Struthio camelus: one gene and its partner. The protein of the gene in region 1 purifies or fractionates together with the protein of each later gene. This does not show direct contact. Links are inferred from orthologs where the notes say so. Each region holds a gene or a part of one and is shown in the gene's direction. Other genes may lie near its edges.

Evidence for each region.
Region 2: the proteins of EPB41L3 (region 1) and NUMA1 purify together in Homo sapiens (affinity purification with mass spectrometry; 3 studies listed by BioGRID and IntAct, with this or other methods). This does not show direct contact. The link is inferred for Struthio camelus from reciprocal best matches to the Homo sapiens genes EPB41L3 and NUMA1.

The regions. Positions count from the first base shown.
Region 1 is NC_090943.1:117,998,273-118,005,663, forward strand, and holds the start of EPB41L3 (band 4.1-like protein 3), read left to right. Parts: upstream 1-4,378; 5' UTR 4,379-4,606; intron 4,607-4,949; exon of another isoform or gene 4,950-5,058; intron 5,059-7,391. UniProt on the Homo sapiens protein: Tumor suppressor that inhibits cell proliferation and promotes apoptosis. Modulates the activity of protein arginine N-methyltransferases, including PRMT3 and PRMT5.
Region 2 is NC_090942.1:224,086,101-224,093,196, forward strand, and holds the start of NUMA1 (nuclear mitotic apparatus protein 1), read left to right. Parts: upstream 1-4,110; 5' UTR 4,111-4,195; intron 4,196-5,295; exon of another isoform or gene 5,296-5,429; intron 5,430-7,096. Other genes in the region: LRRC51 (leucine-rich repeat-containing protein 51), read right to left, coding at 111-441, 557-705, 790-1,001, 1,097-1,194, 3,756-3,796. UniProt on the Homo sapiens protein: Microtubule (MT)-binding protein that plays a role in the formation and maintenance of the spindle poles and the alignement and the segregation of chromosomes during mitotic cell division.

The DNA.
Region 1 (7,391 bases):
GCCTCAGGTAAATCCTAAAGCACCTTCAGATTTTTGTTATCTTTCATTCATGAAAGGGGCTGAAGAGATGCAGTAGCAGGTCGTCACATAGTAATCCACTTAGCTACTTTCTGACTGAGAGTATTATGGGTATAAAAGTGGCGAAGGGCAATGCTGAATTAATTGTGGTAAATCTTCCATATTTCAGGATTTCAGCTGCAGTTTCATTTTGGCTAGGGCCAAATTTACTGATTGTTCTTTCAGCAGTGGGGTGGGTTTGGCTTTGGCTGGCAGAAAAGGACTTATTTCAAACAACAGACCAAATAAATCCCAGCGCTGAGGTCAATAAACCTGTGTCGAAAATAAATGTGAACTACTGTGTTACTGGAGTTGCACTAAAGGAAGAGTCATATCTCACCTTAGAGTTTATTACAATGGTAATATTGGCCAATTAGAGGTCTGTAGGCATTACATTTGAAGTGAAGACAGACAGAAAAAGGGTTGATCTGATTTCTAAATCTTACCTTCATGTGCTGTCTCACAGTGATTACTCTTAATTATGAGAACTTTGTTTCATTGCTATGCAGAAAGCTAAGCTGCATGAGTCATGAACAGATCAGTTTGCTTTTATTAAATTGGAAGTGGATGCAGTAATAAAAAAAAAAAATCAGTGCGACTCCAAAACCATCTACCCGTCTAGACATACAATGCCAAGCTCGTGTCTGCTGAGAAATATCTTCCTAATACTGCTCTAATAATACTACTACTTTTACAGTGCTTCCCATTTTTCAAAGTGCTGTACCCAACTAATTCATTGTTGGCTAAGCTTTAGAAGGCCTTTTGCTGAGTTTGATAGCATTTTTGTGTCTTGCTTCTCTGTAATGTGCTATTTTGAATGCCATGTCCAATCAATTAGGGAATCACAAGAATGTTTTAGGCAGCAGTTCCCGGGGCTGGTCGATAATCCTTGTCCCTTCTCTTCCAGGGTTGCCTATTCATCCTTTCCTGGCAGAGACCATGTGGCTCCCTATTTCCCTCTCCCATAAAGAGAGCCCTTGTCACAGCCAAAGGCTGTGGGCAGACCTGTTCTCCTTGCGGCTGCACTCCTCTAACTGATATCCCATGGGATAATTAGATACCCATGTGTGTGTGCCTTTTCCCTCCCCACCTGTAATTTACCTGTGTCTTGTCAGAGGCTCTGTTTGCCTTTTTCCCCCTGACTTTTCATGCAAGGAACTCTTTTTTTTTTTTTTCCCCTCGCCTTGCAGGACTTTCCCGAGAAAGTTGTATGTGCTCACTGATGCAGGGAAATTGGGAAAATTCAAAGAGATGGATGGAAAAGGGAGCGGAGGGCAGAGCTTGCCACCTGTTTTTCCTAGCTTAGTACTGATCTCCTGCGTGACTCTCACTATTGTTGAAACAGTTGGGTTGTCAGCATGCATCAGCTCTCCCAGCATCATGGTAGCTGGGTGCCATCCTCCCAAAAGGACGGGGTGCTGAGAACAGCTTGTCTTCCAGCCCAGCGTGGAAGCAATCAGATGTGCATCTAGCATCTTGCATAGATAAGAAATTGGAGGATCAATAAGAAATTGGAGGATCCTGGTCTGGGAAAAAGTGCAAGGAAGATATATGGCATAGAGGTGAAGAAAATTTGTGACATAAGGGCAAAGGAGAAATAGAGGGTAGAGAGGCCCCTAGCCTGGGAGGTGTGCTGCTAAAGGAAGGAGGAGGGAAAAGAGGGCTGAATGGGGATGGAGAAAGGGCAACGCGGAGCTATGGAAGGGGAAAGGGGAGGGCCCGGCAGGAACAAACTAGGAGAAGTCTTTTGCAGTCACTCAGGTGAGGAGGGGGTGATAGCCGGGTAGTGGCACACAGGGAGCTTGCACCTGGAGCAGCAGGTTATGAAGGGTTCAAAGGCTGTGCCTTCAAGTCAACTGACACAAGCTGCAAGCCTGTGTCATCTCTTACCCCTGCCCAGTTCATGCTGTTCTTAAGTAAACTAAATGTGTCACTTAAAAAACAAACTATGGAGGGAGTCACTGCCAGTCTTTTCCATAGTACAGAGCAGGAGCTGTGTTTTGTCATGGCCAGGGCGTTCCCCGATGGTGAGGAAGAGGTGCCCTGGGCTGGACTGAACATCGTATCGTGGGAGCTGAGATGCAGAGATGCTGGAATGGAGCCATTAATTAAACTCCTTCACTCCTGATAGCCAAGCCTGAAGCACAGCCCACATAAATGCAAGCAAAGAGCAAAACTAAAACGACTACCGCATAGCAAGGCCGAAGATCAGCGTCTTTTCTTAGCATTGGCTAGTGTGTGTGGTGATCTGAGCTTCCGTTCAGGTAAATTAACACTGGTATATCTCCAGTGAATTCAGGGAAATTATTCCTATTTCGTACCTGTATGGGAACAGTATGGAGTAGGGCTTGATAAAAATTACTGGAAGAATATATATTTTTAAATAATAATTTAAAAATGCAGATTCAACTGGCCAGCTAACTCCCTTCAGAATTAAAAAGTATTATTATTCAAAAAAGAAAAACTTTACTGTCGGCGCTGCTGTGTTTCAGAAATCTGAAATACAGGCCCCCATCTGTAACCCAAAGGTACCAGCTACCTAGTATCTCTTGCAAAGGTTTCCTGCTCATAAGAACAGCCTGTTAATGTCACTTGATGTTTTGAGGTTAAATCAATGTGCATTAAAGCCTTCTGGATCCTCGAACGAAAGATGCTATTATACATGCAGTATATCCACAAAAGGGATCCCCGCGTCTATTGTAATTGTGGGGCAAACCCCCTTGTGGTACTACCCAAGGACAACATATGTTGCTGTGATGCACTAATACTCCAGTGGCATATCTCTGCTTTAAAAGCAGTGTCCAGCACCTTCTTTTAAAATAGAAAGTACAATAGCCGCAAAAGGTTAAACTAGTAAATCTTACTTTGCTTTCCAATAAGGATACTTCTTAGGTCTCCCGTCTCCTTGCTTTTGAGACTCGATTTGATTCAAACCAACTCAGTCTTTTTTTTTTTTTAATCAAACCTTGTTAACTCCAATGTATGTCTTAGCTGTCAAGTACATTCCCTTGTGATTCATGATGACTTCCAGAGTTCCTAGCTGAGAATAGTATACAAGTCGTCTTATTTAAACTGCATGACTAGAGGTATGCCCTCTCTTAGTAGATGGCACACATTTTCCTTTTGAAGTCTCTCTATTATGCATGTTACAGTGTGCCAGAACTGCTAAATGGAAGCTCTGCATATGAACTGAAGAGACTTGTTATATTTCTGCATTAAGCACAGAGCAGCGCAGTTTTGCCGGTTCTGAGAAATGGTATGTCCGCCGCCTACTGTCAAGACCACTTTCTCTTCTTAAATCTCCCAGAGATGCTGCTAATTAAAGGGAGTATTTTTTCCCTGTCATGATTCATATCAGAGGCCTGAGTAAAATTTGGATCTATTATTTTTGGGAGCTCTCAAAATATACTGTCTAAAGAGGGAGTAAGCCTAATTCATCCACTCTGTTGCCGCAGCTTGAAGGCCCAGCATAAGAGCCTTTCGGTGCTTGGTTCTCCCTTCACCAGCCATCGTTACCCATCACGCTGCAAATGCCACCTCTTGAACAAGTTCATCTGCTTCTGGTCCCACAAATAGGCTAACGAGCAGCGCATCTGAGCACCATAGTGCGTCAGAGCCTCAGATCGAATAGCTGCTCCTATCGTGCACTGTTAGGCAGTGGAGAGCTTGGTTTCATGCTCTAAGAGACGCTGCATAATTAGTGAAAGTAAGATTATCCCCCCCGAAACTGCTTCTGTATGGGCTAGGAGCTCTTGTTGCTTCCTGACATGGGGCATGTTGTGGTCTGTATTGTATTAGGTGGCCTAGCAATAGTCAAAAGTTACTTTCAGTTTTATGTTATCATTTTTGGATCTGTAGCCTTGCATGAGACAGGGCCAGTATTTGTCTTTGTTTTGGTGATCATGTCAAGTGAAACATGGTCCAAATTTTTTAGAGCACATGTTCTGTGGTTGGAAATTAAAATGTGAAAGACTGCTACCCCCCACCACAAAAATCCCAAAGGTAAATCAAAGCCAGACCTTGTCAGCATCCAGCCACTGGTTTTAAGTTCCCGGGAAGATTCTCTATTGCTAGGTTTGGTTGCAACTGCAGCAGCTAAATTTGTCTCTCTATATAGCAGAATTCATTTCTGAGCCCAAAACCGGCCAGATCCCTCTGGACGCAGGTGCGGATCCGGGTCCTGCTGGGGATGCGTGGCCGGAGGGGGCTGCTCCCAGCTGGTGTATCTGGGGAGCATCACTGCTGCCCCTGCTCAGCCGGGGGGCCTTGCTCCAGAAGCCACCATCCAGCTTTTGCTATTTGCCGCGGTGTGGGCTTTTTTTTTTTTTCCCCTCCCCTCCTTCCCCCCCCTACTTTTTTTCCCCTCCCTCCCTGCCTCTCGCTGGAGGAGTCTCCCCCGCCCTGATTTGCTGGGGAGCGGCGGAGGCTCGCTCTGGGCAGAGCCGGGCTGCGCTGCCGCTGCTGACGCGTGGCCGCCGCCGCCGCCGCCGGGAGCAGCCCGCGCTCCCGCCCGCTCCGCTCCGCTCCGCTCCCCGCCGCCGCCGCCAAGGTACCTTCCCGCCGCTCCGGCGCAGCGGGCGCCGTGTCCTCCCCGCAGGAGGGAGCGGGGATAGTCCTCAAGGGCTGGGGGGCGCTTGCAGATTGCATCTCCCCCCCCCTTCCACTTTTTTTTTTTAATATATACATATATATAATGCATATATATTTATCTGTTTTATGTATGTAAATCTCTTTAACAGGAGCCATTTTTAAGTTAGCCGCTGCGGGGGCCGGGGGGGTGGGGGGGGGGAGAGGATGAAGCCGGGATGCCCATGCTCCTGGGGTCGGCGGGAGACGGTACCGAGCGGTGCCCGCGGCGGCGCTGCTGCGGTCGGGCTGCGCGCCGTGTCCGCGGGCGCGGAGGGCGCTTCCTGCCACTCCGCGGGGGGAGCGCGGCTCGGCGCCGGGCAGGAGGAAGGACGGCGGCACACGCGGCGTCTGTGGGAGAGCGGGTGCTGTGAGGTTGGGTTTGGGTTTTTTTTTGGGGGGGGGGTTGTTTTTTTTCTAATGTAGCTATATGCATTTCTATGGGAAACTTGTGCGGGCAGCAGAGGCCCCGGCGGTGCGGTGGGGGGGGGGGTGGGGGCTGGCTCGGGGTGCCGGGGGCCGGCCCCAGTCCCCGCTGCCGGGCTCACCTGGGCGGGGGGTGCTGCCTGCGCCGGGCCCCCTGCGATGGGGCACGGGGGAGGGGGTGGGGGAGGCGGCGGGGACCCCCGCCGCGGTTTTCTCCTTGCTCTGCCGGCCTGGGAGGCGAGCCCGGCGGTGGCGGGGGGGGCTGTTTTCCCTCTTCCCCCCCCCCCCCGGGCCGTGGCTTCTGCAATGCGGCGGGTGTGGTTATCGGCAATCACAGCCCCGCACTCTGCAGTGGCGGCGCGGCCCGGCCGCTCGCCTCGGGGTCTCCAAAACACCAGGTCCTGTCTATCCCGACGCCGGGCAAGTGGCTTGTGTGCGTGGCGTGGACCTGAGCGCGACTTACCCCGGGGCAAAGGCGTGCAGGTGTGCCGAAGTTTGGGTTGTGCTCTCTGCCTGCTCCTCGGTCGCCACGCGTAGCGTGGGACTCCGACGCTATGCATCCTCGCGGGTTTATGTAGTGTAGCGTGAAAACTTGTGTGTATTTTCACAGGTCTTAAAAGAAAAAAAAAAAAAAAGGGTGTGGCCGTCAAAGCTTTTGCTAATCACGTTCTAATAATTGCTCTGCTGTAGCTCAGTTTTATTTGGAGGAAGGAGAGAGGGGTTTGCGGGGTTTTTTTTTTTCCATTCAAAGACCTAAAACTTTATCATATATATGCTAACTCACGTTTCCATAATCAATAGAAGTAGTAAGATATACCAAATCTGTTTTTGCTGTTCACTGAAATTTGTTTTTCCTGTAACTGTTTTTGAGGGGAGGAAGAAAACATTCTGAAAGATTATTTTTGCTTTAAATTGTAGCTTCCAATGCATGCTTGTATTTGAGGCAGAGCGAACATACTTCCTTAACTCAACATGCACGTCACTTGTAAGCAGAAGAAAAAGTGCGTGTGTCACTTGAAGTCTTTTCAATCAAAATGATTATAAGTCAGAGGTCTTCTTGTCAAAGATGGTCTCTAGGTTAGGTGTGTCTCACATGTATGTCTTTTTATAGCGTGCAATCTAAATTACTTTTTTCCATTTTACATATAATATTGCCAGCCTTCTCCTACATCAGTAGTAAGCTGAGAAATTTGTTTTAAAAAGACAAACAAGTAAAATTGTAGGTTTTATCTGCAAAAAATGAGGATAAAAGCAATATATGTTACTTTTTGTCTAGTAAATCTTGGTCAAATGTGATGGAGTATAGGCTTTTTCTCTAAAGATATGGACGATAGTCTTTTCTTGGAGCATTAAAAGGTCAACGTCATCTTGGCATATCAATTATCTAGTTAAATTCATTGGTTTTGCTGCACCTATGTGTCTGTGTGTGCATTTGTAATAATACACACACATACGCATACTGTCACGCTGGTGTCCTTGGACTGGAAACTTTCAGCTCTAATGTGAGGATGAAACCTGCATATCAATAATGGGAAAAGAGAGACCAAGAAACCCGCATTAGAGTAAAGAGCAATTGTAAGTTTATTCCTTATGGTACTGCTGGCATAGGAAGGCTTCTGGAGCTTTTAAAGTGCTACAGACCTGTTCACTGCAGTGATGAATAATCAGAAGCAGAACATTAAACGCATTGGGAAGCATTAGAAATGTATTATTTTTATTTAATCAGACTAATACAATCCACGCTAACTCTCCCGGAGCTAATTTCTCACAGCCGCACCACTTCATTAATGATGCAGTTGATGGCCTTTTCCTCTAAAAGGCTAGCCAGTGTTACTGGGAGCACGTCAGCCGCATCGCAGGAGCTCATCGGATGGGAGCCTGCCTTTTAGCTGCTTTGCTGGTGGGCAGGCTTTGCCTTTGCGAGGAGGAGGAGGTGGCAGCTTGCAGCGCTGGGGCAGCAGGGTGGGGCACCCGCACACCAGCCTGCTCGCTCCTCCGCCTCGGAGCCGCCTGGCACACCGGGACCCTACCCTCCTTTCTGGGGGAACTGCAGCAAAACTGAAGAGGCCTAATTTTAGTCTGGGTTTTATTTTCTCTTCCAAGAAGGACCAAGTGAAGGTGAATCTACAACTCATGTGATTTTTGAATTAAACAGGGCGGGGTCTTTCTTATCTAGAGTGGAGACCTGCTAAATATTTACTTGAGGTCTTCTTGGTCTACTCTTGCCGAATGCTTGCTCTTTGAAAAAGATTTGCTCTTTACAGGTTTTTATTTGAGGGCTG
Region 2 (7,096 bases), on another chromosome or scaffold:
CCGCTGCGTGCCCCAAAGCGCCTCGCGGACGATGCTGCAGGACGAGTCCGGTTCGCAGGCGTTGTTTCCTTAACCCCGGGCGGTGCCGCCGGGGTGAGGGGGGGCTTTATTTATGAGGAAGGGGAGGGAGCGGGAGGAGGGCCGGCGCGGGGTCCGGGGGCGAAGCCAGCCCCGGAAGGGCGCCCGAGGCCGAGCCGCTCCCCGCCAGCCTCCTGCTTCGCGGCCCTGCCAGCAGCAGCAGCAGCAGCCGCCCCGGTGGGTGCGCGGGGCTGGGGGGGGGGGGCTCCAGCTCGGGAGCTGCCCCCCGCCGCCGCCGCCTTCCCGGCCGCCTTGGGCTTGGCCTGCATGCGCTTCCAGGCGGCGGCGGTGGAGCGGTCCTGCTTGGTGACGCCGCTGAAGTCGAAGGACTTGAGCTGGGGCAGCACGGAGATGACGTAGCTCCTGCCGGGGCGCGGAGGCGGCGGTCGGGGGGGGGGGGACAGGCGCTGAGACCCCCCCCCCCCCCCAAAAAAGGGAGGTGGGGCAGGGGAGAGGCGGGGGGGGGCGAGCAGCATACCTGTAGCCCGGCTGCTCCTCGACGGGGTTGCCGTGCAGGGTGAGGCGGCGCAGGCGCGGCAGGGCGGCCAGCTTGTCCACCTCGGCCAGGCTGCGGATGCCGTTGGCGTGCAGGTGGAGGCTGCGCAGGTGGCGGTAGGCGGTCAGCACCTGCGGGCGCCCGCCGGGCCGTGAGCAGCCGCCCCGAGGCGCGGGGAGCCCCCCCTACCCCCCCCCCAAACCCCAGCGCCCTACCGGGTCGATGGTGGGCAGCGCGTTGAAGGAGAGGTCGAGCCAGGAGAGCCGCTCGGGGGCCTCGAGGAGCCGCTCGAGGGCGGGCGCCAGGCCGGCCAGGCTGCCCAGCGCGTTGTTGTTGAGGCGCAGGGCGCCGGCAAGCAGGCGGCCGCCGGCCGAGCGCCCCGCCGCCCGCCCCGCCGCCCCGGCCCGCGGCTCCTGCGCCAGCAGCTCTGGGCGCGCGGGGTGGGGGGGGGGGTGAGAGGTGCCCGCCGGGGGGCTCCCCCCCCCCCCCACCACCACCCCTTTTCTGCCCCCGGGGTCCCACCTGGGATGGAGGTGGCGCCGCGGAAGGAGAAGTCGAGGGGGGGCGCCAGGGCCGGGCACCGCGCCATGGGGCCGAGGCCGGCGGCGGAGGCGGCCCCCCTGCGCGGGGCGGCGCTTGTCGGGGTGCTGTCCCCCGCCCCGACCCCACGCCTGTCCTCCTGCCCCCGCGGATGTCCCCACCCGTGTCCCCAGCCCCCCCCCTCCACACACACACACCGCGGGCGTCCCCACGCATGTGTCTGGCTGCCACGGGCGTCCTCCTGGCCCCCACGGGCGTCCCCACGCGTGTCCTCCTGCCCCCACGCGTGTCCTCCTGCCCCCATGTGTCCCTACGCACACCCCCACGGGCGTCCCCACGCGTGTCCTCCTGCCCCCACGCGTGTCCTCCTGCCCCCATGTGTCCCTACGCACACCCCCACGGGCGTCCCCACGCGTGTCCTCCTGCCCCCATGTGTCCCTACGCACACCCCCACGGGCGTCCCCACGCGTGTCCTCCTGCCCCCACGCGTGTCCTCCTGCCCCCATGTGTCCCTACGCACACCCCCACGGGCGTCCCCACGCGTGTCCTCCTGCCCCCATGTGTTCCTACGCACACCCCCACGGGCGTCCCCACGCGTGTCCTCCTGCCCCCACGCGTGTCCTCCTGCCCCCATGTGTCCCTACGCACACCCCCACGGGCGTCCCCACGCGTGTCCTCCTGCCCCCACGCGTGTCCTCCTGCCCCCATGTGTCCCTACGCACACCCCCACGGGCGTCCCCATGCGTGTCCTCCTGCCCCCACGCGTGTCCTCCTGCCCCCATGTGTCCCTACGCACACCCCCACGGGCGTCCCCACGCGTGTCCTCCTGCCCCCATGTGTCCCTACGCACACCCCCACGGGCGTCCCCACGCGTGTCCTCCTGCCCCCATGTGTTCCTACGCACACCCCCACGGGCGTCCCCACGCGTGTCCTCCTGCCCCCACGCGTGTCCTCCTGCCCCCATGTGTTCCTACGCACACCCCCACGGGCGTCCCCACGCGTGTCCTCCTGCCCCCACGCGTGTCCTCCTGCCCCCATGTGTTCCTACGCACACCCCCACGGGCGTCCCCACGCGTGTCCTCCTGCCCCCACGTGTGTCCTCCTGCCCCCATGTGTCCCTACGCACACCCCCACGGGCGTCCCCACGCGTGTCCTCCTGCCCCCATGTGTCCCTACGCACACCCCCACGGGCGTCCCCACGCGTGTCCTCCTGCCCCCATGTGTCCCTACGCACACCCCCACGGGCGTCCCCACGCGTGTCCTCCTGCCCCCACGCGTGTCCTCCTGCCCCCATGTGTCCCTACGCACACCCCCACGGGCGTCCCCACGCGTGTCCTCCTGCCCCCATGTGTCCCTACGCACACCCCCACGGGCGTCCCCACGCGTGTCCTCCTGCCCCCACGCGTGTCCTCCTGCCCCCATGTGTCCCTACGCACACCCCCACGGGCGTCCCCACGCGTGTCCTCCTGCCCCCACGCGTGTCCTCCTGCCCCCATGTGTCCCTACGCACACCCACACGGGCATCCCCACGCGTGTCCTCCTGCCCCCACGTGTCCCCACGTGTCCCCGGCCCCCATGCACACCCCCTCGGGCGTCCCCACGCGTGTCCTCCTGCCCTCATGTGTCCCCACACGTGTCCCTGGCCCTCGCGCACACCCCCATGGGCATCCTCACCCCTCACGGGTGTCCCCACACATGTCCTCCTGCCCCCATATGTCCCCATATGTCCCCAGCCCCTGTGCACATCCCCACAGCAGTGCTCCTGCCCCCCACGGGCATCCCCTCACACGTCTTCCTGCCCCCATGTGTCCCCATAGGTGTCTCTGGCCCCCGCACAAACCCCCACATGTGTCCTCCTGCCCCAGTGTGTCCCCACATGTGTCCCCAGCCCCCGTGCACACCCTCATGGGTGTCCCCACCCCCCACGGGTGTCCCCACGCGTGTCCCCCTGCCCCCATGTGTCCTCACACGTGTCACCAGCCCCCGTGCACATCTCCACAGCTGTGCTCCTGCCCCCCACGGGTATCTCCACATGTGTCCTCCTGCCCCAGTGTGTCCCCACATGTGTCCCCAGCCCCCGCGCACACCCTCATGGGTGTCCCCACACCCCACGCGTGTCCCCACACGTGTCCCCCTGCCCCCATGTGTCCTCACACGTGTCCCTGGCCCCCCACGGGCATCCTCAAGGCCATGCACCAACCCCCCACGGGGCATCCCCACACATGTCCTCCTGCCCCCATATGTCCTCACATGCATCCCCATGGGCATCCGCCTGTCCCCACGGGAGTGCCCACGCGTGTCCTCCTGCCCCACACGCACGTGCCCGTGGGTATCGTCCTGCTCCCACACGCAGCCCCACGGCGAGTCCCCCAGCCGCCGCCCATGTCCTCCTGCCCCCACAGGCATCCCCATGCCTGTCCCTCTGCTCCCACCCGCACCCACTCGCGTCCCCCTGCCCCGGCCCACCTCCCCACACGTCCCCATGCCTGCCTCCCCACATCCTCCTGCGCCAGACACCCCCCCCACGTCCCCATATGTGTTCTCGTCCCCACACAGCCCCACTCGAGCCCCATTCTCCGCGCGTGGGGCCACTCGCATGTCTCCCGTCACCAGTGCCCTGGCTCCCACGCGTATCCCTTACCCACACAGGATCCTAGGTGCGTCCTTCCCCGCGTGGGGCATCAGACATCTCCCCCCTCCTCCTGTACAACGCCCCACACCCCGCTCCTCCCCACAGGGCCCCACGCGTGTCCCCTAACCGCCCGCGCGGCCCCACGGGCGCCCCGCTCACCACCCCCCGCGCGCCGCCGTCGCCACGGCAACCAGCCCCTCGCCCCGCCCCGCCCCGCGCGGGGCACGCCGGGACGAGCGCTCGCCCCGCTGGGATTGGTAGTTCCCCGCCCTCCGCCGCCTCGCAACCTCACGTGACGTAAGGCCACGCTGACGTATCCTGGTCGGCAGCCAATAGGCAGGGGGCAGGGGGCCGGCGCAGCCATTTGAATCGGGCAGGAGGCCGCGTCGGCTGCTTTGCGCCGCGGGGCGGGGGGTTCCGGCGGGGGCCCCGCGGCTACAGTGAATACGGTAGGGCCTGAGGGGGGGGCCTAGGGCCTGGGGGGGGAAGGGGGACCTGGAGGGGGGGAGCAGAGGGACAGCGAGGTGGGGGGGGGAAGGGGGACGTGGAGGGGGGGGAGCAGAGGGACAGCGAGGTGGGGGGGGGAAGGGGGACGTGGAGGGGGGGGAGCAGAGGGACAGCGAGGTGGGGGGGGGAAGGGGGACCTGGGGGGGGGGGAGCAGAGGGACAGCGAGGTGGGGGGGGAAGGGGGACCTGGGGGGGGGGGAGCAGAGGGACAGCGAGGTGGGGGGGGAAGGGGGACCTGGGGGGGGGGGAGCAGAGGGACAGCGAGGTGGGGGGGGAAGGGGGACCTGGGGGGGGGGAGCAGAGGGACAGCGAGGTGGGGGGGGAAGGGGGACCGGGGGGGGGGGAGCAGAGGGACAGCGAGGTGGGGGGGGGAATGGGGACCGGGGGGGGGGGAGCAGAGGGACAGCGAGGTGGGGGGGGAAGGGGGATGTGGAGGGGGGGGGAGCAGAGGGACAGCGAGGTGGGGGGGGAAGGGGGACGTGGAGGGGGGGGAGCAGAGGGACAGCGAGGTGGGGGGGGGAAGGGGGACCTGGAGGGGGGGGAGCAGAGGGACAGCGAGGTGGGGGGGGGAAGGGGGGGACCTGGAGGGGGGGGAGCAGAGGGACAGCGAGGTGGGGGGGGGAAGGGGGACCTGGAGGGGGGGGGAGCAGAGGGACAGCGAGGTGGGGGGGGGAAGGGGGGGACCTGGAGGGGGGGGAGCAGAGGGACAGTGAGGTGGGGGGGGGAAGGGGGACCTGGAGGGGGGGAGCAGAGGGACAGTGAGGTGGGGGGGGGAGGGGGACCTGGGGGGGGGAGCAGAGGGACAGCGAGGTGGGGGGGGAAGGGGGACTTGGAGGGGGGGGAGCAGAGGGATAGCGAGGTGGGGGGGGGAACGGGGACCTGGAGGGGGGGGAGCAGAGGGACAGCGAGGTGGGGGGGGGTATGGGGCCGCTGTGGGGAGCAGGGAACCTGGGAGGGACACAGTGACCTGGGGTGGGGGGACAGGATGCTTTAGGGGGGTGGTGACCCTTTGGGGACGACTGTGTGGGACCGTGACGCTGCAGGACACGGAGGTGGCCGGAGGGACCGTGATCTGGCGCCTCTCCCCCTCCCACGGCCGGGCAGGGGGACCAGACCTGCGCCAGACCTGCGAGCGCCTTGCGCTTCTCCCTCGGCGTAGGTGGGATTGCGAGGCAGGTATGTGCAAGATCCTTGTCTTTGCCGGGGATTTTCCAGGAAGCTTTGAGTGGGTTAGTCTGGAGACGGATCCAAAACCTTTGCTGCTTTTGAGATGAAGCTTGATAAAGTCGGCAGCAGGATTATGCTGTGGGTTCTTGCAGCAGGAGAGGACCAGGCTCCGTAATCATCATGTCTTCCCCCTTGTGTGCCAGCAAGGCTTTTGACACTGTCTCCCATCACATCCTCGTAGGTAAGCTCAGGAAGTGTGGGTTGGATGAGTGGACAGTGAGGTGGATAAGAAATTAGCTGGATGGCCGAGCTCAGAGGGTTGTGGTCAGTGTTGCGGAGTCTAGTTGGAGGCCTGTAGCCCAGTGGTGTCCCCCAGGGGTCAGTCCTGGGTCCAGTCTTGTTCAACATACTCATCAGTGACCTGGAGGAAGGGACAGAGTGCACCCTCTGCATAAGTTTGCTGATGATCCCAAAGTGGGAGGAGAGGCTAACACACCAGAAGACTGTGCTGCCATTCAGAGGGACGTGGACAGGCTGGAGAGCTGGGCGGAGAGGAACCTCCTCAAAGTTCAGCGGAGGCAAGAGCAGGGTCCTGTCCCTGGGGAGGAATAACCCCAGGCAGCAGGACAGGCTGGGGGCTGATCTGCTGGAAAGCAGCTCTGCCGAGAAGGGCCTGGGAGTCCTGGTGGACAACAAGGTGACCATGAGGCAGCAATGCGCCCTTGTGGCCAAGAAGACCAGTGGGATCCTGGGGTGCATTAGGCAGAGTGTTGCCCGCAGGTGGAGGGAGGTGATCCTGCCCCTCTCCTCAGCCCTGGGGAGGCCTCACCTGGAGTACTGGGTCCAGTTCTGGGCTCCCCAGTACAAGAGAGACATGGAGCTCCTGGAGAGAGTCCAGCGGAGGGCTACACAGATGATGAAGGGCCTGGAGCATCTCTGCTCTGAGGAAAGGCTGAGGGATCTGGGCCTGTTCAGCCTGGAGAAGAGAAGATTGAGAGGCGATCTCATAAATGTGTAGAAGTATGTGAAGGGAGGGTGTTGAGAGGATGGGGCCAGCCTCTTCTCCGTGGTGCCCAGTGACAGGGCAAGAAGCAACGGGCATAAACTGAAACACAGGAAGGTCCATCTGAACATGAAGCAAAACCTCTTCACTGTGAGGGTGACAGAGCACTGGAACAGGTTGCCCAGAGAGGTAGTGGAGTCTCCTTCGCTGGAGATATGCAAAACCCGCCCGGATGCGATGCTGGACAACGTGCTATAGGTGACCCTGGTGGAGCAGGGGGCTTGGACTAGATGATCTCCAGATATCCCTTCCAACCTCAACTGTTCTGTGATTCTGTGGTAGTTCACTGGCAAGCAGATGTCCACCACGTTTCTGGTTCTTTAGCTTTTTCAGGTTCTTTGCTATCTGCGCCAAAGTAGCACGCTTTACACAGGAAATTCCTTGGACTAGTTGCTAAGGCGGTGGTGGCATTAACACATTGGTGGTGTGGCTGCTGAACGAAGCAGTTCTGCTGTCCTCCTTGTGCCTGCAGGAGGACTTCTGAAGCTGCAGAGTAAACCGGATTGGGGAACTGGTTGAGCTGAGGCCTTTTTTGCTAGATCAGTTCGAAAAATAACTAGCCCTGTGTCTGGGTGGGGTTTGCTGAGCAGTCACATAAACGCTTGGTGGCAGG